Canis lupus familiaris: one gene and its partners. The protein of the gene in region 5 purifies or fractionates together with the protein of the main gene of each other region. This does not show direct contact. Links are inferred from orthologs where the notes say so. Each region holds a gene or a part of one and is shown on either strand. Other genes may lie near its edges. The genes, in order: GPN3, POLR2M, NDFIP2, LDLRAD4, WWP2, PTPN14 and AMOTL1.

The links.
Region 1: the proteins of WWP2 (region 5) and GPN3 purify together in Homo sapiens (affinity purification with mass spectrometry; 3 studies listed by BioGRID and IntAct, with this or other methods). This does not show direct contact. The link is inferred for Canis lupus familiaris from reciprocal best matches to the Homo sapiens genes WWP2 and GPN3.
Region 2: the proteins of WWP2 (region 5) and POLR2M purify together in Homo sapiens (affinity purification with mass spectrometry, with the first as the bait; 3 studies listed by BioGRID). This does not show direct contact. The link is inferred for Canis lupus familiaris from reciprocal best matches to the Homo sapiens genes WWP2 and POLR2M.
Region 3: the proteins of WWP2 (region 5) and NDFIP2 purify together in Homo sapiens (affinity purification with western blotting; 3 studies listed by BioGRID and IntAct, with this or other methods). This does not show direct contact. The link is inferred for Canis lupus familiaris from reciprocal best matches to the Homo sapiens genes WWP2 and NDFIP2.
Region 4: the proteins of WWP2 (region 5) and LDLRAD4 purify together in Homo sapiens (affinity purification with mass spectrometry; 3 studies listed by BioGRID and IntAct, counting the BioPlex papers as one, with this or other methods). This does not show direct contact. The link is inferred for Canis lupus familiaris from reciprocal best matches to the Homo sapiens genes WWP2 and LDLRAD4.
Region 6: the proteins of WWP2 (region 5) and PTPN14 purify together in Homo sapiens (affinity purification with mass spectrometry; 3 studies listed by BioGRID). This does not show direct contact. The link is inferred for Canis lupus familiaris from reciprocal best matches to the Homo sapiens genes WWP2 and PTPN14.
Region 7: the proteins of WWP2 (region 5) and AMOTL1 purify together in Homo sapiens (affinity purification with mass spectrometry; 3 studies listed by BioGRID and IntAct, counting the BioPlex papers as one, with this or other methods). This does not show direct contact. The link is inferred for Canis lupus familiaris from reciprocal best matches to the Homo sapiens genes WWP2 and AMOTL1.

The regions. Positions count from the first base shown.
Region 1 is NC_049247.1:8,520,174-8,524,362, forward strand, and holds the start of GPN3 (GPN-loop GTPase 3), read right to left. Parts: upstream 2,801-4,189; 5' UTR 2,241-2,800; coding exon 2,193-2,240; intron 1,924-2,192; exon of another isoform or gene 1,787-1,923; intron 1,167-1,786; coding exon 1,058-1,166; intron 1-1,057. Other genes in the region: protein FAM216A, read left to right, coding at 3,006-3,097. UniProt on the Homo sapiens protein: Small GTPase required for proper localization of RNA polymerase II (RNAPII). May act at an RNAP assembly step prior to nuclear import.
Region 2 is NC_049251.1:23,186,821-23,190,320, reverse strand, and holds part of POLR2M (protein GRINL1A), read right to left. Parts: coding exon 3,424-3,500; intron 995-3,423; coding exon 784-994; intron 1-783.
Region 3 is NC_049243.1:32,872,612-32,876,111, reverse strand, and holds part of NDFIP2 (NEDD4 family-interacting protein 2), read right to left. Parts: intron 1,720-3,500; coding exon 1,595-1,719; intron 1-1,594. UniProt on the Homo sapiens protein: Activates HECT domain-containing E3 ubiquitin-protein ligases, including ITCH, NEDD4, NEDD4L, SMURF2, WWP1 and WWP2, and consequently modulates the stability of their targets. As a result, may control many cellular processes.
Region 4 is NC_049222.1:24,835,031-24,838,530, forward strand, and holds part of LDLRAD4 (low-density lipoprotein receptor class A domain-containing protein 4), read right to left. Parts: intron 294-3,500; coding exon 153-293; intron 1-152. UniProt on the Homo sapiens protein: Functions as a negative regulator of TGF-beta signaling and thereby probably plays a role in cell proliferation, differentiation, apoptosis, motility, extracellular matrix production and immunosuppression.
Region 5 is NC_049226.1:80,497,101-80,500,600, forward strand, and holds part of WWP2 (NEDD4-like E3 ubiquitin-protein ligase WWP2), read right to left. Parts: intron 1,704-3,500; coding exon 1,556-1,703; intron 1,210-1,555; coding exon 1,088-1,209; intron 1-1,087. UniProt on the Homo sapiens protein: E3 ubiquitin-protein ligase which accepts ubiquitin from an E2 ubiquitin-conjugating enzyme in the form of a thioester and then directly transfers the ubiquitin to targeted substrates.
Region 6 is NC_049228.1:12,224,324-12,227,823, forward strand, and holds part of PTPN14 (tyrosine-protein phosphatase non-receptor type 14), read right to left. Parts: intron 3,265-3,500; coding exon 1,787-3,264; intron 1-1,786. UniProt on the Homo sapiens protein: Protein tyrosine phosphatase which may play a role in the regulation of lymphangiogenesis, cell-cell adhesion, cell-matrix adhesion, cell migration, cell growth and also regulates TGF-beta gene expression, thereby modulating epithelial-mesenchymal transition.
Region 7 is NC_049242.1:6,356,557-6,360,761, reverse strand, and holds the start of AMOTL1 (angiomotin-like protein 1), read left to right. Parts: upstream 1-1,405; 5' UTR 1,406-1,558; intron 1,559-2,006; 5' UTR 2,007-2,098; intron 2,099-4,205. UniProt on the Homo sapiens protein: Inhibits the Wnt/beta-catenin signaling pathway, probably by recruiting CTNNB1 to recycling endosomes and hence preventing its translocation to the nucleus.

The DNA of each region.
Region 1 (4,189 bases), on a different chromosome or scaffold from region 5:
TTCTCATTGACTACTTGGAGTCATTATCACAATCTTTAATGTTTATCATTTTGCTTATCTCCTCACTAAAAGGTCCATGAATGAAAGGATAATGTCTGCCTTGTTCTCTGCTAGAACCTTGGCATCTGGCATAAAGTAAGTGTTCAAAAGACATCTGAATGAATAAATTGAAAGAATTTTACTTTAGGGGCACCTGTGTGGCTCAGTCAGTTAAGTGTCCAACTCTTGATTTTGGCTCAGGTTATGTATGACCTCACCATTCTGAGACCAAGCCCCATGTTGGGCTCCACACTGGGCATGGAGGGCATGGAGCCTGCTTAAGATTCTCTCTCTCAGGCAGCCCTGGTGGCTCAGCGGTTTAGCGTCGCCTACAGCTCGGGGCATGATCCTGGAGACCTGGGATCGAGTCCCATGTCAGGCTCCCTGCATGGAGCCTGCTTTTCCCTCTGCCTGTGTCTCTGCCTCTCTCTCTCTCTCTCTCTCTCCTCTCTGTGTATTCTCATGAATAAATAAATATAATCTTAAAAAAAAAAAAAGATTTTCCCTCTAAAGAAACATAAATTTAAAAAAATTCTTTTTAAATTTTTTTCCCAAGAGAGAGGGTAGGAGGCGCCTCTAAAAGAATTAAAAACAAACAAACAGTTAAGCTGCTCGCTAATACTATGACCTGCAGTAAACCCGATTCACCACAGCAGGCTAAGCATGGAAGGACAGAAGGGGGGATGCCTGGGTGGCTCGGTGGTTGAGCGTCTGCCTTAGGCTCAGGGGGTGATCCCAGGGTCCTGGGATGGAGGACCTTTGTCTCTGCCTCTCATGAATGAATAAATAAAATATTTTACAAAAGTGGGGAAAAAAAGGACAGAAAAGAGGTATGAGGGAAGATACTCAATTCTTAAACTAAGACGAAGAAAGGATAATGTCACACATTTCATCATGAAGCAGGGGAGCAGACTATAATAATTAAGTTTTCACCTTCTGTACCAAGCAGCCAGCACTCATGGCCTCTCCACCCCCTCATTTTTCCTGAAGGAGGGGGAAGGCTCTGTTCAGGACTCACCAGCCATCACGGAGTAGTTGAAGTGTTCTGCTGCAGGATCTAGGTTCACAACTTGGACAGACCGATTGAGGGCTTCACAGTGTTGGACCATAGTGGCACAGTAGGTGCTCTGTAATGTCACAAGGCATCATGGGGTCAAAGCAATAGGCAGTGTAGTGCTACCCCTGCACCCCCAAAATGGATACCCTATATCCCTTGGTCGGTGTCCACTGAGGCCAAAATTATGCCTTCATTGATCAAAAAGCCGACTGAAAACAGGTACTAGGCTGGCAGTCAGGACATCTGACTGGGCTGTAGATCCAGACCTGGCTGAGACTCAAGAGTAACTTTAGTGAAAGCGCTTCTCTACTTTTCTCTTCTTTTTTCTAGAGACTTTATTTTTAAGGAATCTCTACACCCAACATGGGGCTCAAACATAAAAAAAGAAAGTATTAAAGATACACAGGTGTCAAACTGACAATTTCACTTCAATGCAAACTGAAAGAATTGAAAAGGGAGTAATTTTCTCAATTTATGATCTCTAGAATTTACTGACCTCAATCAAGACTCACATTCCACCAAATGAATCAGCCAGGAGCCTTACCCCTGGTTTTCTCTACACCCAACATGGGGCTCAATCAATATACGATCCAATGTTCACTAATGTTAGGCCATGTACCTCCTAAAATCGCCTCAAAGACCAGAAGTCCATGTTTCAAGCTCTGAGAAACTGACTTAATGAGACCTCACCTGAACTTTCTATGAGCGAGACAGGAGCGGATTCTGGGATTACACACAACTGGATTCAAATTCCAGCCGCGTGATCTTGGGAAAAGAACTTAACCTTTCCGTGTCTCATTTTCTGTAAAATTCCCATCCGTAAAAATGAGAACAAGACCTATCCTACAACGTTGTTCTGGAAATAAGTTAGGAGTTTAAACGCAGTATCTGGGGCATAAGTATACTCTAAGCATTAGCCACCACTGTTATTTTCCCCACTTTCAAAATCGCAACAAAGAGCGACGAAGCCCAGACTGCAGCAGCGCTCTGCCGAAGGGTCCGCGTGCACGCACCCGCCGGTCCCTCCGTCAGGACCACAGCCCCCCTGCCTCCCACGAGCTCCGACTTTTCTCCTGTTCTAACGCCAAAGCCTCACCTTCCCGCTTCCTGCCGGGCCCATGACCAGCTGCGCGTACCGAGGCATGCCGGCGCTCCTGGGGCCGGGCTGGGCCCGCCACGCCTCACGGAGCCCGACCGGCCCGCTCCCTTCAGCCTTCGCGCGGCGCTCACTGACTTCCGGGAACACCACGTGACCACCAATAGCAACCCACAGTCCTTTTGCGCCCTGCGTTGTTACATCCCTGGCTACGGAGCGTCCCGCAGATCAAATCTCGTGTGAAACCCGTTCTCGGGAAACTTCGGCGTGGGCGGGGCGGACCGGGCAGCGGTTAGAGTGTGCGCGGAGGTAGTGGCGGAAATCGGCGGTTGGGACGCTGGAGAAGCTTGGTTGCCTTGGAGATAACGGCTAACGGCTCGCACTCCGCATCCCTGCGCCGCGGACTTCGGTCCTCGGTTCGCGTACGAACGTCTCACCTATCTGGCGACACCCAACGTTTGCAAAGCTGTTAGAGGGCCGGGAATCCTGAGGTGGAAGGCACCTCCTGTTTTAGAGGGCGTGTATGTTTCCTTCCCGTGGAAGAGGACTCATCCCCTCCACAAAACGTGCAAGCGCGCAACCCTCTAGAGAGTTCCTGCCCCTCCCCTCTCTAATTCCAGCGTCTGGTCTCTGCCCTCCCCGCTCTCCCGAAGCCGTTCGGGCAGTGCCCGGAGCGCCTCGGCGGGGGCTAGAATCCGGCGTCCGCGGGTGCACCCCCAATAGCGCCCGGCCTGACGCACGCGTGCTGCCGGGGGAGGGGAGAGGGGGAGGCTGCTTCCGCACACCGCTCGAGGTCCGGGCGCCGGGGCGGAGATGCCCGGCCAGTGTCCGGTGCCCGACTGGACGGCATGCGGCTCTTCCGCGGACCCAACCGCAGTGGCCGGGACCGAGGGTGGCGGCGGCGGGTGAGGCTGAGGGGCCCTGAGGGGTGAGGGAGGACGCCGACCGGCCCAGGTCGTGGTCCCCGGCGGAGGAGGGGGTGGGAGCCGGCTGCTCCCGTGGCCTGACCCCCCAGTGCGCTGAACTGAGAGGAAGGGGGAAGCTCTGTTGTGGCCGGGGTGGCACACATGGAAGCCGCCTCGCTGTTTACGGGAAGGGCCTGTGAGGTAAGGCCGAGCGTTGGTGCAATGACTAAACGCCGGGACTGCGACAGTTGCCTGCGTGCGTCTTTCTGCCCCGAGGGGGCGCTGCGAAACCTGCTGGAAAATGCCGTCTGGCCACAGGATCTCTACAGAAAGAGGGGGTTGGGGGGCACGGCAGAAACAGGTTCGAACGAGGCTTTCCAAGTCAATAAACCAGTTCTGTGGGTGTCACGTTGGCCACTTTTATGTCCAGGGGATTCATAATGACGATGAGACAGATAATTATGAATATTACGGGTACGTTGATCTTGATGTTTTCTTCCCACTGAAGTTTTTCTTCATAAATCCATTTTATTTTGAGAAGGCTCTTTTAGTATAGTTCCTGGATGCTGAAGACAATTAGTCTTCAGTACCTTCTCATCCCTTCCATCAGTTATTACCTGAAAGAGCTTCAGGGTGTACCTTTCCAAAAGCACACAGTCATGGCTCCTGCTGCACCCATGACCATTTATTTATATGTGTGTGTGTATATACACACACACACACACACACACCACACACTCATACATATGGAATGTGTATATACATAAATGTATACATATATACATCATGTATATGAAATATATATAGGGAATGAAACATATATATAGTGTTTGAAGGCTTCTTAAAAATGATTTATTTGTCTTAGAGAGAGTGGGTGCGTGCAGAGGGGAGGGGCAAAGGGAGAGGGAGAATCCTCAAGCAGACTCCTCAAGTCTGAGTGTGGAGCCCCAAGCAGGACCACCGAGATCAGGACCTGAGCCCAAATCAAGGATCACCCACTAACCATCTGAGCCACCCAGGCACCCATCAAAGACTTAAAAGACTCTTGTCTTTGCTGTTCATTACAGTGCTTGACAAAGTGCTGGATCCTAG
Region 2 (3,500 bases), on a different chromosome or scaffold from region 5:
TTTTGTCTTGAATAGTGCCTAGTGCCTGATTAAGATCTAGCAAAGCAATGCCAGGAAGTTAGGCTATTTTCCTGGAGGTTCAAACTCTTACTATCTAAGGATATTGGATGCTTTCTATTCTCCCTCCAGTCTGCACAACTATTTCCTCCCATCTCATTACTCTGTGCACAAACTGTCCATATACGTGCTTAGAGTCCTGGGCAGAAGTCCCAGATCTTTGAAGAAAGTGCTGTAAGAAATTAAGTCACCATAGGTAGGCGATTCTTCTGTCTTCACAGGGGCTTACAGATCATGCTTTTAAGTTTACTGTCTGAACATGTTGATAAAACCACAGTATTCTCCCAACATTACGCTCTTCCCTGTCTGGCAAGAGACAGAAACCGGGAAAGTTCTCCCTGATTCTTGGTTAGCTTCTACCACCGAGAACCTCTTGCATGGCGTTTCCAAGGTAGAAGACAGAGAAGCAAGGCTTCTGCTAGCCTGACAGCATGGGCTTTAAGAGACTGGGGAATTTTGCAGTAGTCTCCTCCCCGTATTTTCTGGCAAAAACCACTCAGCTGCTGCACCTAGCTGTGAGCATCTCCAGCTGCATCCTGTGGTTCTAGCAGCTTCAAGACTCTCAGAGAACTAGAGGCTCACATCTGAAAGCTACTGGCATTAGCTGACCATTTCTCAAGCACCTACTCCCTTCTATCGAGTCCTATCCTTTCTGAACTTTCCAGAGTAAATTCTGACTTAGCAGCATCCAACACACAGACAAGAAACATTTAGAGCTCTAAATACCTCATAACTCTGTTTCTGCTGTTTCTGAAGTGCCAAAGATTCTTCTATGGAGAGCAGCTGGGTGGGCATATGGTGAAGTGGTAGAAGGCGAGCTGCTGTGATGTCATCGAGATGCTGCTTATCCCTGAGCCGCCTCTCTTCTGAGGAAAGGGGAGACCCTCTTCTCTGCCAATGGCTAGATGCAGATTCATCATTATGTTGCGAAGGTAATCTGAAGGAGGGGAAATTTGTATCAGCGGACTACTTTCTTTTTACAGACACACATTTACAACATTCCCACACAGAAGTGGCCTTCAACCTTAGCAGTGAATTCTCCTAAAAAGATAATAGTAAGGAGTTTACCAGTATTTATATATGTAGGTAAAAATCCTGTTTCTAAACATACTTCAAAACCAGTATGTAAATTAGCACCTTTTTGGAGAATAATGTGACAATCCACTGTTTCAACAAATAGGTAGACTGGTAAGTTCTTTGCATTTTCCTTCACTCCTCCAACCTTACACTTGAACTGAAGCCGTCTTTCCATCTTTTCATTCAAAAAACATTTGCGAAGGGGTTTGCTGTCCAGTAAAGGGAAAAAAACTTACGGACAGTTTCTGTGCAACACAATACCACCTGGATAATACCATACATAGAGGTGGTATACATACTATACATGTTGGCACAGTGCAACATAAAGTAAACGACCAGTTTTATTGGGAGACGGGGGAGGGGGCTGTCAGAAAAGCTTTAAGAAAGTGAATTTTGAGGAGTCTTGGAATAATAAATGCTCACTGTGTCAATGAGGGGAAAAGGCATCCCAACAGGGAGTGAGGGCCAACATGGTGCTGCACAAAGGGTGTTCAGGGGGTGGGGTGGCCAGGAAAGGCAGCGAGGTAAGGCTGGTAAGTACACCAGGCCCAGTCCTCAGCGAAGAGTTCTGTTCTATATAATAGGTTCAGATTTGCATTGTACAAATTTCACTCTGACAGCAGTGGAGAGGATGGACTGCTGGAGTTAAGACTAGAATCCAAAACATGCCAGTTATAGTCCATGAGAGGGATAAGAGCCTTCGTTTTGACAGGAGGACAAAAATAAGAATGATCAGAGATAAAGGTCAACGAAATATATTATGTAGGTCTTTACAGCTGGCAGATACAGAGATGAGGCAAAAGCAAGACACCTTAGGGAAAAAAACAAAGTGCTGACACTATGAATTTAGGGAATATGGGAGAAAGCATGGGAAGAAGTAAAAGTTCTATGCTATATATAAATCTAAAGTGCCACAAAACACCCACAGGGCCAGGTTTCATTGGTAACTGGCCACGCAAATCTGAAGTTCTATAAAGACCGAAGCTAGAGGGAGATGAGGGGCAGCCACCAGCATCCAGGCGGTACATGGAGCCAGCATGGCATGGAGGAGGCCAAAGGAAGAGCAGAAAAAAAGCCAAAAACTGCTCATTCTTGGAATCCCTCGACAAACACCTAACAGACTCATCCAGGCCCAGCCTTTCCCGATCTGCTCTGACAAGAAGCATCTGGCTCTCCCCACTCTGACTTCCAGCTAAATGACCACACTACCACAATCAGTGTATCCACTGACTACATGATGCTTTAGGTTTTCCAGCTTCCTGGAGGTAAGGAAATGTACCTCCCTGAACACAAGATGAGAGATTACTTAGAAAGAGTACAAAGATTACTTTTTGTTCCTCACTAAAAATTAATGTTCTATAATTCTGGTTTTTATACAGAAGTAAATAAAATGTTTTCAAGTTAAAAAAAATGGCAGGGTTGAACTTGAAAGTTTTTTTGTAATAGTTCTATAGTTCTTTGAAAGTTTTAGGTATTTTTAACTAGAGGTTTTCAGTTTTTCAAAGGCAGGCAGTAGTGATTCCACTTTGTATATGATGTTATACCCTGCTAAAGTCAGACAGGTAGGATACCAGTGGCTACTCCCTGAGGTGAATGTTACATCTGCACACAAGGAAGTAACATCCTTTTTTCTTCAAAGAGCTTCTCTTTTTCTGCAGATCTCAGTAACAAAACTATGGCGAGGAACTCAGAAGCAAGGTTTGCTCCTCCTGCCTCAAATGTTTTTGTGTCTTTAACCCCTTCTCAGCTACCTTCCCCCTCAAGTTGTTATGGTCTAGTTCAAAGTTCTTCCAAGTGTGGAAGCCTTGGGTTTTCATCTAGACCCTGAACTCCTGAGGAGCAGGACCTTTACTTCTGTGTCACCTCAGCACCACCTGCTTACATATAGTCAGCATACTAATATGTTTTGATGACAAGTCCATCAGCTTTTTTCCCCTTAGCTTACAGTCTAATCAAAGGGGGAACTGCATAACAAACAATTGTTGTGGAAAATAGTCACAATAAATTCTCAACTCTGGGTTTAATATCAAATGTTGGCTAAGCATCCTGAAATTTAATACTTCACCTGCTATGTGAAACCTATCCAATTTGGCTAAAAACCTAAAGTATTTTTCAGCATGAATCCTCCACTCCGGCCAGGCTGTTTCCACAATATGCTCTTTCCTAACTATAAGGAGGTCCCACACAAAGTCCACTGAACTGAAAGCATTCCTTCCTTTTTTTTTTTTTTTTTTTTTGGTTTAACAAATAGTACATTTCTGTGACCAGCCTGTTTCTGATAGTACTTACACATTAGTTTTAAATTTATGTGCTGGGGGCACTGGGTTTTTGGCTCGAATTTCTAGCACTTCCATGTAATGAGGCTT
Region 3 (3,500 bases), on a different chromosome or scaffold from region 5:
ATAATAACCATTGGACACAATTAACTTCAACTATTTTGAGGTTTTTCTAGTAATAACTTTTTTCAGGGCAGGGATTGTGCTTTATCTTTGTATGCTAACATCTTAACACATTTATGCTCATGGTGGGAATCCACTTCACATTTTTTTAAATGAAATTAGAAAAAGAATCCGCCAGGGGGCTGTTCTTACACTGGCTCAGGTTTTAATCATCTCAGAAGAAGCCAAGTCATGTCGCACCCAAGAATCAACTGATTAATAACCAAAATCTATAATTTGGTCTGAACAGAGATGAATGAGGTCTGATAAAATTACTGAAACTCTGGGAAGCCATAACTTCAAAAATAATGAAGAAACACATTAAGTCCAATATTAATTTTTTAAATCAATTTGCTGATGTAGGTACATAACTGAAGTGTCTGAAGCACTTAAGAGAAGCTGACATTAAGTATGTGATTCTACTGAATATTTTAGGAGGATGTGACTCACTCATTTAGAAATCAATGTTTAAATAAATATGTTTGTAGAAATTAAGCATTTTATCAATTGTATAGTAGCATGTAAATATGTGGGTTACTTTTAAGAAAATTCATTAAAAAAATAAATAAAATCACTCTTTTTTTTCTTTAAGGTAAGCCCAATGCAGGGCTTGAACTCATGACCCTGAGGATCAAGATGTGAATTGAACTGAGATCAAGAGTTGGATGCTTAACTTACTGAGCCATTCAGTGCCCCCAAACCATTCTTGATCATTCTCCTAGGTCTAACATAAAGAAATTAGGGAAAAGGCTTTGTAACAGGAACCAAAGGATCTAAAAGGGGCCTCCAAGAGGCAAAGGTAAAGAGTGGGGGAAGACTATGCAAACAGGGCTACTGCCACTGGAATGGTTACAGAAAATTATTTTGGGACAAACTGTTGATATGGGATAAAGACTTAGCATTATCTCCCTACACACCATGTGGTAAGTGCTAAGAAGTAGATAAAGGGTGAATTCCAGGAACAACAGGGAAATAAGAAAGGTGGAAAGGGAACATAACAGAAAATGGGTGAGTTCAGATAGACACCTCACAGGTCTTAGTTTTTTGAGCTCTCAAAAAAGAAAGAGTGAGAAGATGAAATTAAGTCCTTGAGAATTTTACTAACCAACAGAAAATGTTATGTTTTACCTGATTTTAGGCATGTGTGCACTGTATCACAGCAGATGCAGCCACAGCTTACCAAGCACCTGTATTTGTGCAGCAACTAGGCAAGTGCTTTAATTATATTACTGCTAGGCCTCACAGAAATCCTGAAAGGCAGCTAATACCAGCTTATTGGGAAGAAATTCTCAGAACAATTTAAAAATTTAAAGTTAGGACACTGATATAAGTAAGATTCAAACTCAAATTTTTTTCTGATTTCAAAGCTCTTTCCATAGTAAGCTCTCATATAATAAAGCATCAAAATGTTAACACAGAGATCACTACAATAAGTATAAAAGATAAGCCTCAAAATAATTGATTCATATATGTAAAAGGAATATTTATGAACCACACAAGAAATTTCATAGATTTTAATTTTAGAGATCAAAGTGATAGAGGCTATTAAGACACTCACCCTAACAATAAGGATCCATTTGATCAATGAAAGTCCAAATCCACAGATGGCACCATACCTTCCAGCTATGGTATTGGTGATACAGAAGGATAAACAAAATCCAAGCCAGTTGAAAATAAATGCCACTAAAAGCAAGAGAAATAGTTCTTTTAAGGACCACACTTTGGAAACAAATTAACAGAGACATAATATTAACAATACTTCATTGCACAATGGAAGTAAGAATTCCCTTTCTTTTGACTTTGTACCAATTAAATCTTCTTTATAGGCCGTAGTTTACCTTTTGCAAATATATTGGTTATTAATTACACATTAACAAACAGATAAGCTTGGTTTCTTGTTAGTCTGGTCAACAGGAATCAATTCCTTAAAACTTATCAATAGGTAAAACTGCATTTTTAAACCAGCTAAAAATCAAGTCATAATGTAGCTCAGCTCCCATGTGATCCCACCCAAGAATTCCAGCCTAAGCAATCAACTAACTAAACTGGATTTTTTAAAAAGCAATATTAAAGATAAGCCAAACAAATTATAAAATGTTTCCAGAGGAGGTACTGTTCATTGCCTCTTCCTATCTAACAAAACCTACTTTTACCCCTTTTCTGGAACCCACCCACCAACAGAGTCTTTATTTTAAGGAAGGCTAGATCATATACTTAACCCCAAAAGAGAGGGGTCCTGAGTAGTCTGGGAAAATCACAGGAGCCCCTGCCACTTTTTTTTTTTTTTTTAATAGGACTTTGAAATGCATTCTTTGGTTCTTAAAAACACATCAAGGAGACAGAGGATGGAATATAGGTTAAATAACAGTGGCTCTAAATTGATCATTGTTGAAGTTGAGTGATAAATACATACAGGTTATACTCCTGCCTAGTTTGAGAATTTCTACAATAAATGTTAAAAAGAAAAAAAAAATCCCCCTTATCCACTGGATTTCTAATTTGAATATAACACCTGGAAATGCTGCAGGGATTTTGCCCTCAGCCAGAGGATTAAAGTATAACTCCACATGGGCTAGAGAGTGTGAAGAGAAAGAAAAGCAGAGCCACAGAACTAATACTTGCTGTGGCTGAGTCTGCTTGTCTATCCCCTTGTCTATGGATTTTCTGTTTTGTGAGATAACCACCTATTTAAAACAGCTGAGTAAGGGTTTTCTATAACTTGTAGCAGAAACCATTCCGACACAGGTCCTTGAGATATCATCAGAATGCGCTATCTGTGTGTGTCTAAGATAATAATAGAAATGATAATAAAAGTGAAAATCAATTTGAGCAGGACTTTGGTCCTGTTCAGTGCCCATCCTCTTATCCTCAATATCTCTAACTAACCCTCAGGGAAAACATAGAGAAATGCTGATTTTTCAGGATTCTGAAGACAAAGAGGAAACATTTTAGAATAAATTTAAATAAAATAGCTATTTATTCAAAGCAATTTTCCTACTCCTATAATTTCTTCCTTCCTAATGCCTTCTAGGCACAGCTTTCTTGATCATTTATAGTAAGCTATATTATATGATACAATAGGAGAATGCATTTTGAAATTAAGAGACTTGTGTTTGAATCACAATGTGACATGTATCACTCACTAGATACATGACCTGGGACTCACTGCTTACTTCTGTGAGCCAGTTCTCTGATCTGTACGATCTACTTCACAAGGCTGATAAGAGGATTAAGTGAGATAATGAATTTAAAGGGCTTAGCACAGTAAAGAACCTGGCACAGTGATTGCTAAGAAATGTTAACCATTATTAGTACCCATATTTTTTATACAGTAGGTTATATCTTTTCCGGAAAAAAAAAAAAAAAACACAAAAAAAATCAGGAGATGCTACTGGAAATAAAACTTGCTTACACTCAATTTTCTTTTTTCTTATACTAGATGCTGATTTTGCTATCTTCTACCT
Region 4 (3,500 bases), on a different chromosome or scaffold from region 5:
AGAAAAAAAAAAAGCATTCCCTCTGTGAAAGCACAAAATCTCTTTTCTTAAGCCAAAATCAACACCCTCTCCATTTCTCTATGACCCCACCTCCTAATTATTTCAAAAAACAATCCAACTTAATGATACCGAGGTAAGTAGGAGGGACTTACAGTTGAAGATGCCAGGAGGTGGGTGCTCAGTCACCAAGAGGCAGTTTTCTTCATCACTGTTGTCCCCACAGTCGTTCTGTTGGTTACAGACCAGTGAACCAAGATACAAGCATTTCCCGCTGGTGCAGGTGAATTTGCACTCTGAAAAAGGACAATAGAGAGCATAAAGTAGGCGATGCAAGCTCCATGCTCTTTGGTTGGTTTCCTTTCCCTTCCCCATTTGCGTGCCATGGTAGTTTGGGAAATGGGTCTGCATGCAGATCCCCCAAAAAAACTGAACTCAGAGAGGGCTATCTATGAAATACGCATGACAGCGTCCAGGGGAGCTCTGGGCCTGCTAGACATCACTCACCCGTGGTCATTGACCCACAAAACGAGTAACATAGGTGCTTTCTTTCCACAACTTGCCCCACAAAGTCAGAGATATGGGGTTCCTATGTTGCTTGAAAACATCTGTGGCAGTTTTCTAAGCCTCCAAGAATGTGGGGAGCCTCAGAAGCAGCAGCTGGGGGTCCAGCAGAACTTGAGATCTCAAGCTTAACAAAAGGAGGCTCACATATTTTATTTCCAACTGTCACTGGATGTCGTGAAACTCGGGGCAAAATATTTAGCCTCTCTGGTATTCATTCATCTCGTGCCTAAGAAACAGCAATTTTAATAGTAGGCGGGGGTAGCACTGATTTTATGATGTAAAACGTAGGAAACACCTGGGGGCTCAGTGGTTGAGTGAGCATCTGTCTTTGGCTCAGGTCATGACCCCGGGGTCCTGGGATCGAGTCCCACATCGGGCTCCCTGCATGGACCCTGCTTCTTCCTCTGCCTGTGTCTCTGCCTCTCTCTGTCTCTCATGAATAAATAAATAAATAAATAACATCTTTAAAAAAAAACATAGGAAAATAATGTGTGTTCTCTGTTACCTGAGAAACATATGTGCCAAGGGCCATGTGAGTAACTTAAAGACTATGATGAAGCCCAGCCCATATCTTTGTAGGCCACACTGAACATGGGATCCCTGAAATCCCTACAAACCAATATATGAAACTGGAATATATACTTTTATAAGACTTTGAAATAAATTTGCAAACTTAACACATTACTGTCAATGTAAACATTTAAGGATAATGGAAATTACACAATCATATACACACGGGCACAGAAATAGCTATGTGCATCTTACATTAAATATCACCTCGCATTCTGACTATGAGCTTTCTCCTAGGAGCACCCACAAAAGCCAGCAGAACTCTTACGCTATGTACGAGTCAGTGGGTAGAAAACAAAACGTCTGGAAAAGCATCCCAGACCCCTGCTCATGTTGACTATCACACCCTCTTCATTTCTCCCCTATTTCGTCTGCCTAGAACATGGGTGGCAGGCATGGATCAAATCCAAGGTCCCTTCAATGCTAAAATTCCATTATTAAAATAAAAGACTGGGCATCAGCACACCGAGGCCTCCTCCAGCTACGCTAACAACAAAGAGGGCTGCAAAGAGAATAACCCCTTTACCTGTTGCAAAGAGACAGAACGTAAATCCTCAAAGTATTTCTGCGACCCCGTATGAAAGAGATACTCGAGTTCCCCCATTTGTTTGCATTTTCCTAAAAGAGCCTAGAAGACGCCAGCCCTCCCCTTGACCTAGTTTAGAACAGCAGGTGAACAAAGCCCAAATGCACGTCCTACAAGTTCTTCACTGGCCACAGTGTCCAGGTTAAAAAAATTTGTGCACTAAATGTGATCCAGGCCACGTGGTAGGAACATTGCTGATGCCAAGTGCTCTTCCCATAAGGTACAAATGTTAAAACCCAGCTGTTTGAAATCACATTTATGAAGGGGCTTTTAACTCAATGGAAAAAAGGGACGTCAAGAAAAATAATTTATTTTTCTTCCCAAAAGAAATATTAGAGTTCGGATTAATACCAAACATGAAAAGGACATTAGCCAAAAACAGGCTGATGATGTTGAAATGGTAATTGGAATAAAGGGAATGTTAACCTAAATTGAATTAAACTCCAACTAAAGAATTAACCATTGCTGTTAGACTTCCACGTTCCAGGTCATGTGGAACCTTAAACTGACAAGAACATGGAACCACACCCACACTTCACTCATGTCAACTTGTTCAAGCGAGGCCCAGTCCAGAGAACAAAATGTTTTCAAGGAAATGAATTATGTGATTCATTCATTTATATCATCAATATTTTGGCCCCTTCTCTGTTATGTGCCAGGTATTAAGACATGGAAACACAGAGATGAAAGAGCAAGTCCTCTTCCAAGGGCTTACAACATGAATTTTTTTTTTAATAATGTGAGAAGTGACCCATAGATTTTCTAACTCTTTCCAAGGACTTATCTTTCTTTATATCCTCCACATCTAGGGTGCTGCCCAGCAAGTAAAAGGCACTCGGTGAATCACATATTATTGATGATATAAATGAATGAATCACATAATTCTCACTTCTTAGATGATACAAACATCAATATCAACCCACAGAATTTCAAACTCAAAAAATCTAAATCTTCTCAATGTTGAGTCACTAGCTAGATATACAACCAAAGGCCTTTCCGTCACATGGCCACTTGAATCAAAACAACTAGATTGAAATTTGGAATCTCTTGACTTCCGGATGTGATATAGAAAATACTAGAAAATTGCTATGATGCTATTAAGTGTTAAAGATTAATGCTAAGGCTGGAATGAAATTGCTAAGTAAAACTTAAAAACTCTAAAGTGACATAACTGGTATCGACAGAGGCAAGCTTTTAAAATGTATTTAAATTCAATTTAATTAACATATAGTATATTGTTCGTTTCAGAGGTGGAACTTAGCGACTCGTCAGCTGCTCATAATAACCAGTGCTCATTCCATCAAGTGAGAGGCAGGGTTTCTTTTTCTTTTTTTTTAATTTATTTTTTATTGGTGTTCAATTTGCCAACATATAGAATAACACCCAGTTCTCATCCCGTCAAGTGCCCCCCTCAGTGCCTGTCACCCAGTCACCCCCATCCCCCGCCAAAGAGGCAGGGTTTCAACTGGATCCTGACTTACAAGGCCGTCTCCACCATACGTTGCTATCCAAAACTCCCGTGTGTACAGACATGAGTAGTCCGCTAATAACCAGTTTCTTTTGATATTTGAAACTAAGAACCCTAGATGCGATGCTCTGACTTTAGCTGTGCATCTTTCAACATTTCTGATGTCTGAGCCCCAGCCCGAAGAGTTGGTCTTGATGGTCCAAGGTGCAGACTGGGCAGTGGTTGTCACTACAGATCCTCAGAATGACCCTGATGAGCAGCCAGGATGAAGGGCCACTGTCTGAGAACATTAAGCCCCCTTTTTCACTAATA
Region 5 (3,500 bases):
ATGATCCTGGGGTCCCAGGATCGAGTCCCACATCAGGCTCCCTGCATGGAGCCTACTTCTCCCTCTGTCTCTGCTTCTCTCTCTGTGTGTGTCTCTCATGAATAAATGAATAAAATCGAAAGAAAGAAAGAAAGAAAGAAAGAAAGAAAGAAAGAAAGAGAGAGAGAGAGAGAGAGAGAGAGAGAGAGAGAAAGAAAGAAAGAAAGAAAGAAAGAAAGAAAGAAAGAAAGAAAGAAAGAAAGAAAGAAAGAAAGAACAGACTCAGAAAGAAAAGACTCTTGAATCAAGGCGGCACTCACCCTGGGACCCAATGCTCCCCACCCCCACACCTCTCAAGTTAAATCCACTTTCAGAAAATATTTTCTAGACAGCAGACATCAAGAGAAAAAGGAGCCTTTCTTTCCGTGGCATTCCCTCACCACATATGGTACTGCTCTCAATAGAGGCTTTATGAGGGAGGGTCCAGATACCACAGCCACGGGTTATGCTACTGACCACAAGCACCATAAAGAGACGTCAGGATTTACATTTCCATGCAGCAGAGGCACCCTGAATAATTAAGACAGAGCTTCCATCACATTCCAATATCCAGTAAACATTTACGGAGTGCCTACTAAGCACAAGGCACTATTTGTAACACCATCCCCCCCTACACACACACACACACACACACACACGACACACACACACACACACACACACAGCTTCTTTCTTCTGCTCGAGGACTCAGACTAGGAATGATTTAGGCTGGAGGCATCGGACAGTGTGATTCCACATGTCACATGCCTCCTGGATTAGGAAAAGAGGAGCAGAGGCAGAGGGACACATCAGAAAGGATCAAGGGGACTTATCACTGCATCCCATCAGTAGGCCGGGGGACAAAGGAGGCTGAATGCCGCAGTGCAGACCTAGAGGAGCTCTTGCCTTCCTAAAAGGGGAACAGTCCCTGTGGCCCCTGTGGCCCCTGGGCCTGGAGGAAACTGCATCACCAGGTCTATCCATGCTGTGTTAGAGAAATCCAAGCCTTCCAATTCTTCTCCCCACCCCCACAAACGAATCGCATCCGCCACCCCTTCATCATACGTACTTTTGCCTCCATTGTTCTTCAGGACATTAGAGAGGTTGACAGAGGCTGTGCCTAGCAGTTCATTTCTCAAAGTATGGCAGCTCCAGACCTTCAAATCTAAATGACTCTGGGCCGTGACATTCCTGGAAAACAGATACTTGATTGATCAAATCCGAGCATACTGGTCTCTCACAACTTAGGAGAAAACAGATAAACCTACTGCTGACATCTTGGAGGGAGGCAGAAGTCTCCAACAGGAAGACACTCACGTGTGTACTCTTTCCCCCACCAAGCTGACCCTGTAACCATCTAGCTAATAATGAATGCTCTGTGAGCTCAATGATGTAAAAACACCTGAAGAGAGGTCCCTTGGGTACCAAAGGCAGAAGAGTTAGGGGCGTCACAGGAAACCTGTATCCCCCGCAACCCTCTTGGAACACCTTCTCTCTTTCCCCCGTGTTACTGCAAAGAGAAAGGACTTTCTCTTACAAGATGATGATCTCATTCCAGAGAAGCTCGGAGCTCCCGATTCGCTTCCCAGTCTTCTTGGTCTCACTGGGGAGTCCATCCACTGCCACCTCCACAAATGAGTTTATTCGAGGTTGACGATTATGCACCTTGGGCTTTGCTGACACCACTGGACAGGAAAGGAAGGAAAAGTCAAAAATGAGTCCCAGGGCTCCCTGTTGCCCCCCTGTGGCAGAGGTTCTCACTCTTTTTTGTTGTTTCTTCTAAAAAATAAGTTTTGGAATTTTTCTGATCCTAAAAAAATTACTTTTTTAAAAATGTGAGGATATCTTAAAAATATGAAGCATAAGAAAAAAAAAGCACTCCACACCTGAAAATACTGGGATAATTATCATTAAGATGTTGGCAAATCCAGACTTTCCAGACTCTCATCTTTTATGCCCCCAATTCTTTAAGAATCTTCTCCTCCCAAAAATAAATTTGAAATGGCTGCAATATGAGCCAATAGGCGTGCCATAATTTAGTTAACTATTCTTTCAGTACTGAATAATTGCTTCCAACTTTTCACTCTGGGAAAATCATCATGAATATATACATTTGCATGCAGTCGTGAGTATTCCTCCCAATGATATGAATGTTCTTTTAAAGTTCTTCAAACTGCTTAATTCCTTTGCAAAAAAAGATAAACCCATGTAGATGCCAATATATCCATTTCACCCCCACCGTGCAGAGTATAACATTTTTTCACTATTTGCAATCAAAGAGGTAAAAAAAGAAATCATACAAATTAAGTAAGATTTAAAGAGCACTTATGACACTAGGCTATGCACGCATTATCTAATGACATCCTTAAAACAAATCCATGAAGCAAGGAATATACCATCACCCTCATTTCATCCAAGAGGAAGCAGGCTTAGGGAAGTTAAGTCATTGCCTCAGGTGACAGAGCTAGGAAGCTTCAAACCAGGATGTGCACCCAGGCTACCCGACTCCACACCACGCTATAGGTCATTATCAGGTTTTGCTTATTCTATTGTCGTTCTTCCATTACTAGTGAATCTGAATATGTTTTCCATGTGCTTGTCAGCCATCTGCATTTCCTGTTCTATTTGTATCCTTCATGTGGCAGCATTTCTGATGTTTATTTGGTACCGGCAAACCGAGCTCACCAAGCATGCACCCAGGGGCAGGTAATCATCTCTTATAGCATGCATTAGCCATGGTAGAAACTCCAGGTCTCTGGGATGGAATACACCTAAGACAGCCTCCAACCCATGCCCCAAATGAGAGCATGTGACTGGCATTTATTACCCATGAAGCAAAACTGAGCAAACCTCTCCCTCCCAGGCCCTTCTGAAAGGTGAGAGTCCTGTAAGGGTTAACAACTTGACAAAGGACAAACCTACCTCTGGATTCTTTTAGCAATACCTGTCTTTTCCCGGCTCAAAAGAACAGTAGAGAGCAAGTCAAAGAACAGTAGCAGCAAAGGTTGTGGCTAAGATTCAAAACCAATAAGGGACGGTACTAGGAGAAACAGGTTGTGGTGGTGCAAAATGTGGTCCAGAGTAGAAAACTGAAATACCTTTCACAGAGACCAAGGTTAACTGAGGCCACCTGGTGGTGTGGGAATAGCTCTGCACACAGACTCTTAAAAAGGGTCGGAGTGTGGGGGCTGACTAGTTATAATTATAGCCCTATCATTTCCATAGACAGTTTCTTTGAAATCAACAAGTTTCTAAGGAGTGCATGTGATGTGATGAGCACTGGGTATTATATAAGACTGATGAATCACTGAACTCTACCTCTGAAACTAATAATAACTATATGTTAATTAATTGAATTTAAATTTAAAAAAAAAAAAAAACAGGGGATCCCTGGGTAGCTCAGTGGTTTGGCGCCTGCCTTTGGCCCAGGGCGCGATCCTGGAGTCCCGGGATCGAGTTCCGCGTTGGGCTCCTGGCATGGA
Region 6 (3,500 bases), on a different chromosome or scaffold from region 5:
GCATTCATTACTTTTTCCAGGCTGGGAAAGCTCTCCCCCAGGGCGCCACCCCCGTGTTTCATTCCATCCCCCAGCCAAATGGTTTTATTGGCCAGGGGCACAGGCATATCTTTCACAATTTCCCTCTAGGTTTGCAAAAAGTGGAAAAAGTTATGCCTGTACCAAATTCTTAGCACTACTCTAACTCGTGGCCAAAACTGTGCTGCTGGGAATGCTCTGAAAATTTGTCGAAAGTAGTAATGTTCCTACGGATTAGATTCCTGAACCCAAAAACGTGGCTTTCTTAAAACTTTGGTCTTTAACTGTTTTCCTTAGTTTGATAACCACTGGGGTGCAGGGAGACTTCTAGAGGAAGGGAGCCTAAGAACCTCATCAAAGGAAATTTTAGCTTGCAACTGTTCTGGAGTTCCTAAAGTAAGTGCCAGCTACCCTATGGTAGAAATGTGGTACCTGCAGAGGAGAAGTCAATATGGGTTTGATGACTTGTAATGAAATGATGCTTTTACTTTTTTTTTTTTTTTTAAAGATTTATTTATTTATTCAGAAAGAGAGAGAGGCAGAGACACAGGCAGAGGGAGAAGCAGGCTCCATGCAGGGAGTGCAATGTGGGACTCGATCCCGGGTCTCCAGGATCACACCCCCGGACTGTAGGCGGCGCTAAACCGCTGCACCACGGGGGCTGCCCAATTCTTTTACTTTTTTAAGGAAATTTCTAAAACAAGGAGTAATGGTGATCTGAAATATTCTTTAAAGTAGTAACTACAGGGGTGCCTGGGTGGCTTAGTCATTTAAGTGGCTGACTCTTGGTTTCAGCTCAGGTCATGATCTCAGGGTCATGGGATTGAGCCCCCAGTAAGGTTCCGTGCTGAGTGCAGAGTCTGCTTGAGATTCTCTCCCTCTCCCTTTGGCCCTCTCCTTGCTCACTCATCTCTTTCACTCTCTCTAAAATAAAATAAATAAATAAAATCTTAAAGTAGCAACTACAATCTAGCAATTTTCTCATTACTAGGAGATAATGCACTTTGTTGGTCTGTGTGTGCACCTGTTACCTATACACTCTTGCTGTTACAATATACCTGGTTCTCCAGCTGGTACGTATCCTGAGTAAGAGTTATTTATGTCTAATATCAGGCATCTCCAAATGCTTTACGTGTGTGTCTATGTACGCGTATGTTCACATGCATGTGTGTGAATACCGAGAGAATGAGCTTAACGGGGAACTGAAGCTCAGTGATGAACTTGTGAGTTTACGGTAGTGTTTTTGGTTTGTGTTAAGCATCTACTGAAAGAAAATCTGAAAATAAAGCTGAACACGTCATGGTCCAGTCATTACTGGTGAGCCATCTCTGACATAGAGCTCTCTACACAGAGCTGCGCTCTGAAGGGATGTTGCTCTTTTACTACCTAATTGAGGGAAAAAAATGCTTCTCCCTAAAAGAACCAACAAGAAATGTAGGAAGGAGAGCTCCCAGTAGCTCACACAACAGGACGTCTGACCCTGAATAAAGAGCACAATGCTGGCCCAAACAACCTGCAGCATCCTGACTCCACTGTGGTGCCTTGCGCCAAGCACAGCAATTAAAAGGCCCAAATGAAAATGGAAGATTTGACTGAAAGGGGAAAAACGAAAGTTTTGTGAAATAAAATACTGCCCGTTGAAATGCCAACTGATGCTCTAATTCCCTAACACATTCCCTGGATCAGCCTCGCACTGCCTTCGGTCCTGGTGCTTTTACACCCTGTGTCATGGGGACGCCGACACTGCCCCGGAGCAGAGGACACTTACCCTGAGGGCCATCTCTCTCTCTACGATGCTGTCTTCCAGGGAGAACATCTCAGACACGGGTCTCTCCTTCACAGGCTCTTTTTTGACCCGCTCCTTTACGCTTGTCAGGTCGGGTTCAGAGATGGACGGGCCCAGGGAAGGCCCAGCCACTGCCAGCTGGTCAGCGCGGGAGACGCTGATGGCCTTGGCTGGCCCGTGTCTCAGGACCCTGGCCCTGGCCATGGCAGGAGGCAGGCTGACCTGGTCTTGCCGTAGCGCCCCATTGCTAACACTTTTCCTTGGGCCAGGGTACTCGGGTGGGGGTTTGTTTGGGATTCGGGCCAAGGCCGCCTGCAGCTGGGCACTGTACCCCATCTTCTCCCGGAGCACAGGGATCTGGGGCACCGATCCCGGGACCTCCTCCTCCTCCTCCTCACTCTCACTGCTGTGGATCAGCATGGTGGCATCGGAGAAAGTCTTCTTGTGGTGGTAATGGGGAAGCTGGTGGGCCTCGTGGCTCCCTGGCACCTCCTCGGGTGGCCCCTGCTCCCGGAGCGTGTTTCGGCGGGCCATGGGGATATTGAGTGACTTCAAGGTCATGGCTTCCATGCCCCGCACCATGCTGCTCATCACCTCCAGGCTGTGGCGCTTATTCACTGCGCCGTGGTGCTTGGTGGCCGTGAGGGGCTCGCTCACCTCCTGGAGAGACTGGTGCACCACCGGGGAGCTGTCCTCCTGGAAGGTCTTCACGGACAGCTGCACTTTGCGGGTCACCAGGTCGGGGCTACTGCCGCTGACGTACTTGTGGCGGTGGCTGGCGAGGTCTGGGGTGCTGGTGGCAGGGCGCGGCCGTGGGTAAGGGGGTGGCGGCCTGAAGAGATAGTTTTTGAGCATATGAGCCGTGTTGTAGTTCTGGGTGCCTTGGAGCTGCATGTTGGCCAACTCTGGCGTGCTCACCGTGTGGGAGATGGCACTTGCCCCCGGCTTGCTCGGCACCGAGTTATTCTTTGGGTTTATTTGGTCAGATGGACTGACAAGTTTGTGACCATAGCCTCCCTGTGGCCCATAAGGGACAGTGTAGGGGTGCCTCTCCCGCATCTCGGGCTGGCTGTACACCAGATCCTCCGGCTGGTTGTAGGCATGCGTATTGATGATGTTGAGGTTTCGCAGAGACTGGCTCTGGCTGTCGGCGTGCAGGACCCCCCTCTTCATCTGCCGCATGACTGTCTCATAATCGGGGGTAGGCCGGTAAGATGGCACGATGATGGCGCTGTGCCGGTGGCTAGGGATGTAGTCAGCCCGCATGATGTCACTCCCTGGGATACTGAGATTGGAGGACACAGGAGAAGCCTGGATGAAACTCTGGGAGCAGCTGAGGGAGTTGACGCTGTGAACACTACACACGCTGCCATTGGTGACGGTGCCATTTAAATAATTTAAATCCAGACTGTTGTGAGAGTTGTAATACAAGGCTTCTTCATTCCCGTGGAAAATGCTGTCTATAAGAAGTCAAACAAAGGCACGTGAGCCTCCACATCATCCTGCTCCAATTAAGTTCATCCTCACACTCATGCGCATGATTTTTAGAAGTCATTAAAAGTGAAATTCTGTGGTCTCCACCCACATATTCCATGAAAAAACTAGTAACTCTTGGGTGAGAGGCCAACATACAGAAGGAACACTTTAAAGCATACTAAAAAGAAAAAGGGAATCTAATCAAAGAACGGTATGTACA
Region 7 (4,205 bases), on a different chromosome or scaffold from region 5:
ACCACCCTGCTCTGAGTTCTCATAGCTTCCTTTTTCATACTCATCTCACAGCAAAGATCGATTGGCAATTTTCTTCGCTATCTCAGTAATTCTGTCAATGGCCCCTCTACTCCTGCCTGACTTTTGCTGTGACAAAGGCTGGCCCCTGCTGCGTCAAATCCTCTCCACCCTCAGCCACAAGCGCTCATCCTTCTCTTTTCTCCACTGCCCACTGGGCTGGGCAGCAGTGAATTCTGCTGCAAGAAACCTTGGAAAAGAACAACACCCACACACACATGCATATTCTAGAAAGAGAGAAGAAAATAGGCCAGGAGCTCACTCCAGGCTCTTGCTCCAAAAGAAGAGTAGTTTCTTTCTCCTTAGCAAAATGTTCTCGCAGAGGCACAAAGCAGAAGGAGCCTGGCAATTCCATTTTAAATAAACTCGTGCTCCTAAATTATCATATTTCAGATTGGAATCCCATCCTCCCCACCTCGGCCCCTGGCCCCATTGCTCTTTATTCTTCGTGAAGCCTCAGTGGGGAAATGTGAAAGCCACTGATTAAAAGAAGCCTGTGATGGGCCTGCCACCAGCCGATTCTGATGAGACACATCCAATTAAAACAGACAACATTTTCAAAGACCCCAGGCGGGCATTTCATCTCCTCAGCACTTCCTCCAACATGTCAGCATCACCTGAGGCAGTTCTTCCTTTTTTTTTCCTCCCCCAGTATGAAATTTAGGTCAGTAACTGCATAATCCACACAAACAACCCTGGCTGCCTCTCCTCCCTCCTCCTCCTCCCTCTGGAGTTGTCTGTTTGGAAATACATAATTGGGCCCAAATGCTTCCTCCAGCTGACTCCAGTGTTTGGGGTGAGGACCGGGCCGGGGGGTCGAGGGGGCTGGGGACTGCTGCCTCTGCTGCATGCAGGACGTGCAGTGAGCAAAGACTGGAAGGTTGGTCGTGTGATTCAGTAGTGAGATCAAGCCATGCTGCCCACCCAGGGGGCCTGCTGGGCCATCTTGCAGTGATGGTGACGTCAGATTCTGTGCCCTCCCCTGAAAATCAATAATGTGGCCTCAGCAGGGCCACCAGTTCTCAGGGTCCAGCCTTTCACCCATAAAAGGAGATGAGCCAGCCGGATGTCTACACCCATCGTTGTTGCTCTGGTACTAATGTACATAGGCTTCCACAGAGCCTTTTGGAGGCAGGCGCTCTGTTAGGGGGTGCGGGGCCAAGTGTGCATCTGTGTCCACTTGTTTCTCTGGATGCCTTTGTGAGAATGTCCAGATCCCAGGGAGATGGGGAGATGGGTGTCTGCAAAGAGAATCCCCACTCAGCCAAACAAGGCCAGGGAACTGGCTTCCTTCCCGTGCTCTAGCTGGGACAAGCATTGTGCTTGCCACAGAGGCAGAACTATTTTCTCAAACAGGAAAACAGATTCTGTGCTTGGAAAAGTGGGAGACAGAGTAGGCTGGCCGCAGCACGCTGGGCGGAAGAGGATGTAGGAGGTGTTTCCTCACCCTCCTGTCTCTGGCTGGCCTGTGTGGTATGAGAAGACTTCTGGCATTGGCCAGGTAAGCTCGGGAAAACTATCCCCCTACATTTTTCCACAGGAGAAAACAGGGAGACAGGCATAGAAACAGCCACCTTGGTTTTGTCTGACAGACTGTACTGCAGCCCTTAAATGGTTCCTAGGGAACTTTGGGTTGAGCTGTGGTCATTCTGCCTCTGTGGGATCATACTCCACTACAGGGACATATGCTTGGAAGGGACCTTAGGTGTTATCTCGTCCAGCGTGTCCAATCTGCAGATGAGAAAATAGGCCCAGACAGGGCAGGTGACCTGCCATGTTCACACAGAGAGCTACTGGTGGAACTGATGGACCAGAGACTCCTGACCTCCAGGCTGAACAAATTTCCATCAACTTATGGCCTTCCTCCCATCCTAGTTTCCTTCTTTTCTGTTTGAAAATTAATTCAACACAATCCAGCAGGCATTTACGGAACACCTGCCTTGTTGCAGGCACTGCGTTGGGCACCAGAGATAAAGAAGTGAAGTGAGCCACCTGATGATGTTCACTGTGTACTAAGAGAGAAATTTCTGCAGGGAAGGAGGTAGGGATCAGCATCCTATTACCTTACCGGAGCTCCAGGTGCACCTATATCTTACTCAATAGTGTCACTGGCTACATTGAATTATAAGTGATGTTTTAATACTCAATACTGAGGTCTTGAAGGACAAAGACTAGCTGACTAATTTTGTATCCCCAGTGCCCAGGAGAGTGTCTAATACATGGTGACTGCTTAGTAGATACTTTTTTTTAAAAAAAGTAAATATGGGGCACCTAGGTGGCTCAGTAAGTTAGTTTAAGTTTTTTTAAATAAGTAAATATGGGGCACCTAGGTGGCTCCGTAAGTTAGGCATCAGGCTCTTGATTTCAGCTCAGGTCATGATCTCAGGATAGCGAGATTGAGCCCCACATTGGGCTCTGCGCTAGGCAGATTCTCTATCTCTCTCCCTCTTCCCCTCTCCATTCATTTGTGCTTTCTCTCTCTAATAAAGTAAAATAAAATAAAATAAAATAAAATAAAATAAAATAAATAGATGAGTATTTACTGTTTCACTTAAACATACTAATCTGACAAGTTATTCTTGTCAGTTTTGTCATGTATAAAATAAGGATAAGTACTTTATTTTCCAACTCTGGCAGACAGCTTGTATAGTTTTACCCCCTTATCCACTGTTTCACTTTCCATGGTATCAGTTATCCCTAGTCAACCATGGTCCAGAAGCAGATAATCCTCCTCTGACTATTGTCAGGTCAATAGTAGCCTAACAGTAGGTCACAGTTGCATATGTCATTCATCTCACTTCATCTCCTCATGTAGGCATGTTCTCATTTCACATCATCACAGAAGAAAGGTGAGTATAGTAAAATAAGATATGTTGAGAAGGACCACATTCACATAACTGTTACTACAGTATATTGTTATAATTATTCTATTTTATTATCAGTTGTCAATCTCTTGCGCCTAATTTATAGATTAAATTTTATCATAGTTATGTATGTATAGGAAAAAACATAGTATATATAGGATGCATCCCTATCTGTGGTTTTAGCCATCCTCTAGGGTCTTAGGACACATCCCCTGTAGATAAGAAGGGACTGACTACTATATTGGAATAACCTTTTTGTTAAGAACAACCACAAAAGCAGAACTATAAAACCAGACATACATATATTGAAGGTGTAATACGTATGTCTATTTAAGAGTACATATGTGTATAGATACATAAATATGTAAATATATACTTTAGAATTATATATGATATATCTAACATATTTTATAAACATAAAATTATATATAATTATGTATTACAATATATTATATACTTTCAAAGTATTTATAATTACTTATAATGTGTGTGTATATATACACTTTGATAGGAACAAAGAAGTGAGGACTTTAATGATCAAAGTCCCAAAAAGAAGGAAAAAGAGAAGTTGGTCTGACATTGGAAGTGAATTTTTCCCTCCAGATATTTGCCGGTTTCTGAGTAGCAGTTAAGAGGCCGAGAATCTGAACAGGAAATGGTGCATGGGAGCTGAGCAACTGAGCAGAGCTGCAGTAATCACTTTGATTTGGAAAGTTAAAAGTTGGAATTATGAGCCCATCAGGGTGGAAGGACCCTGAAAAACACACTGAAAAGCAACACACGAGGAGTGAAGATGAACCTGAAATGCCAGTCATCATACACTGAGGCACATTTCAAATCAGCTTGATCTCAAATTGATTAACCTGATCTGCTTCTCCCCTAAATACCCAATAGTGTGATTAATGGATCCTAGGGTAGTTCTATTTTCAACTTTTTGAAAACCTCTGAAAAAGGTTTTCCATAGTGTCCCCACCAGTGCAAGAAGTTCTCACTTTTATCCACATCCTACCAACATCTGCTGTTTCCTTGTATTGCCCAATTGCCTTCAGAAGCAAGTCCTCTCCGGAGAAAAAGAATATCATCTAGAACCTTGAAATATCTCTACCATTCTTGGTCCACACACAATTACTAGCATTCATTCTGAAGTCATCAGACAGACCAAGAAAAAATAACATAAAGGTCAAAACCAAGAGAAAAATTGACCAGAGAAAGAAACCAATAGGAAGCCCAGCTATTGCAGTTATGAGTTTGTACATATTTAATGTTCAGAATAATATCTGGTGC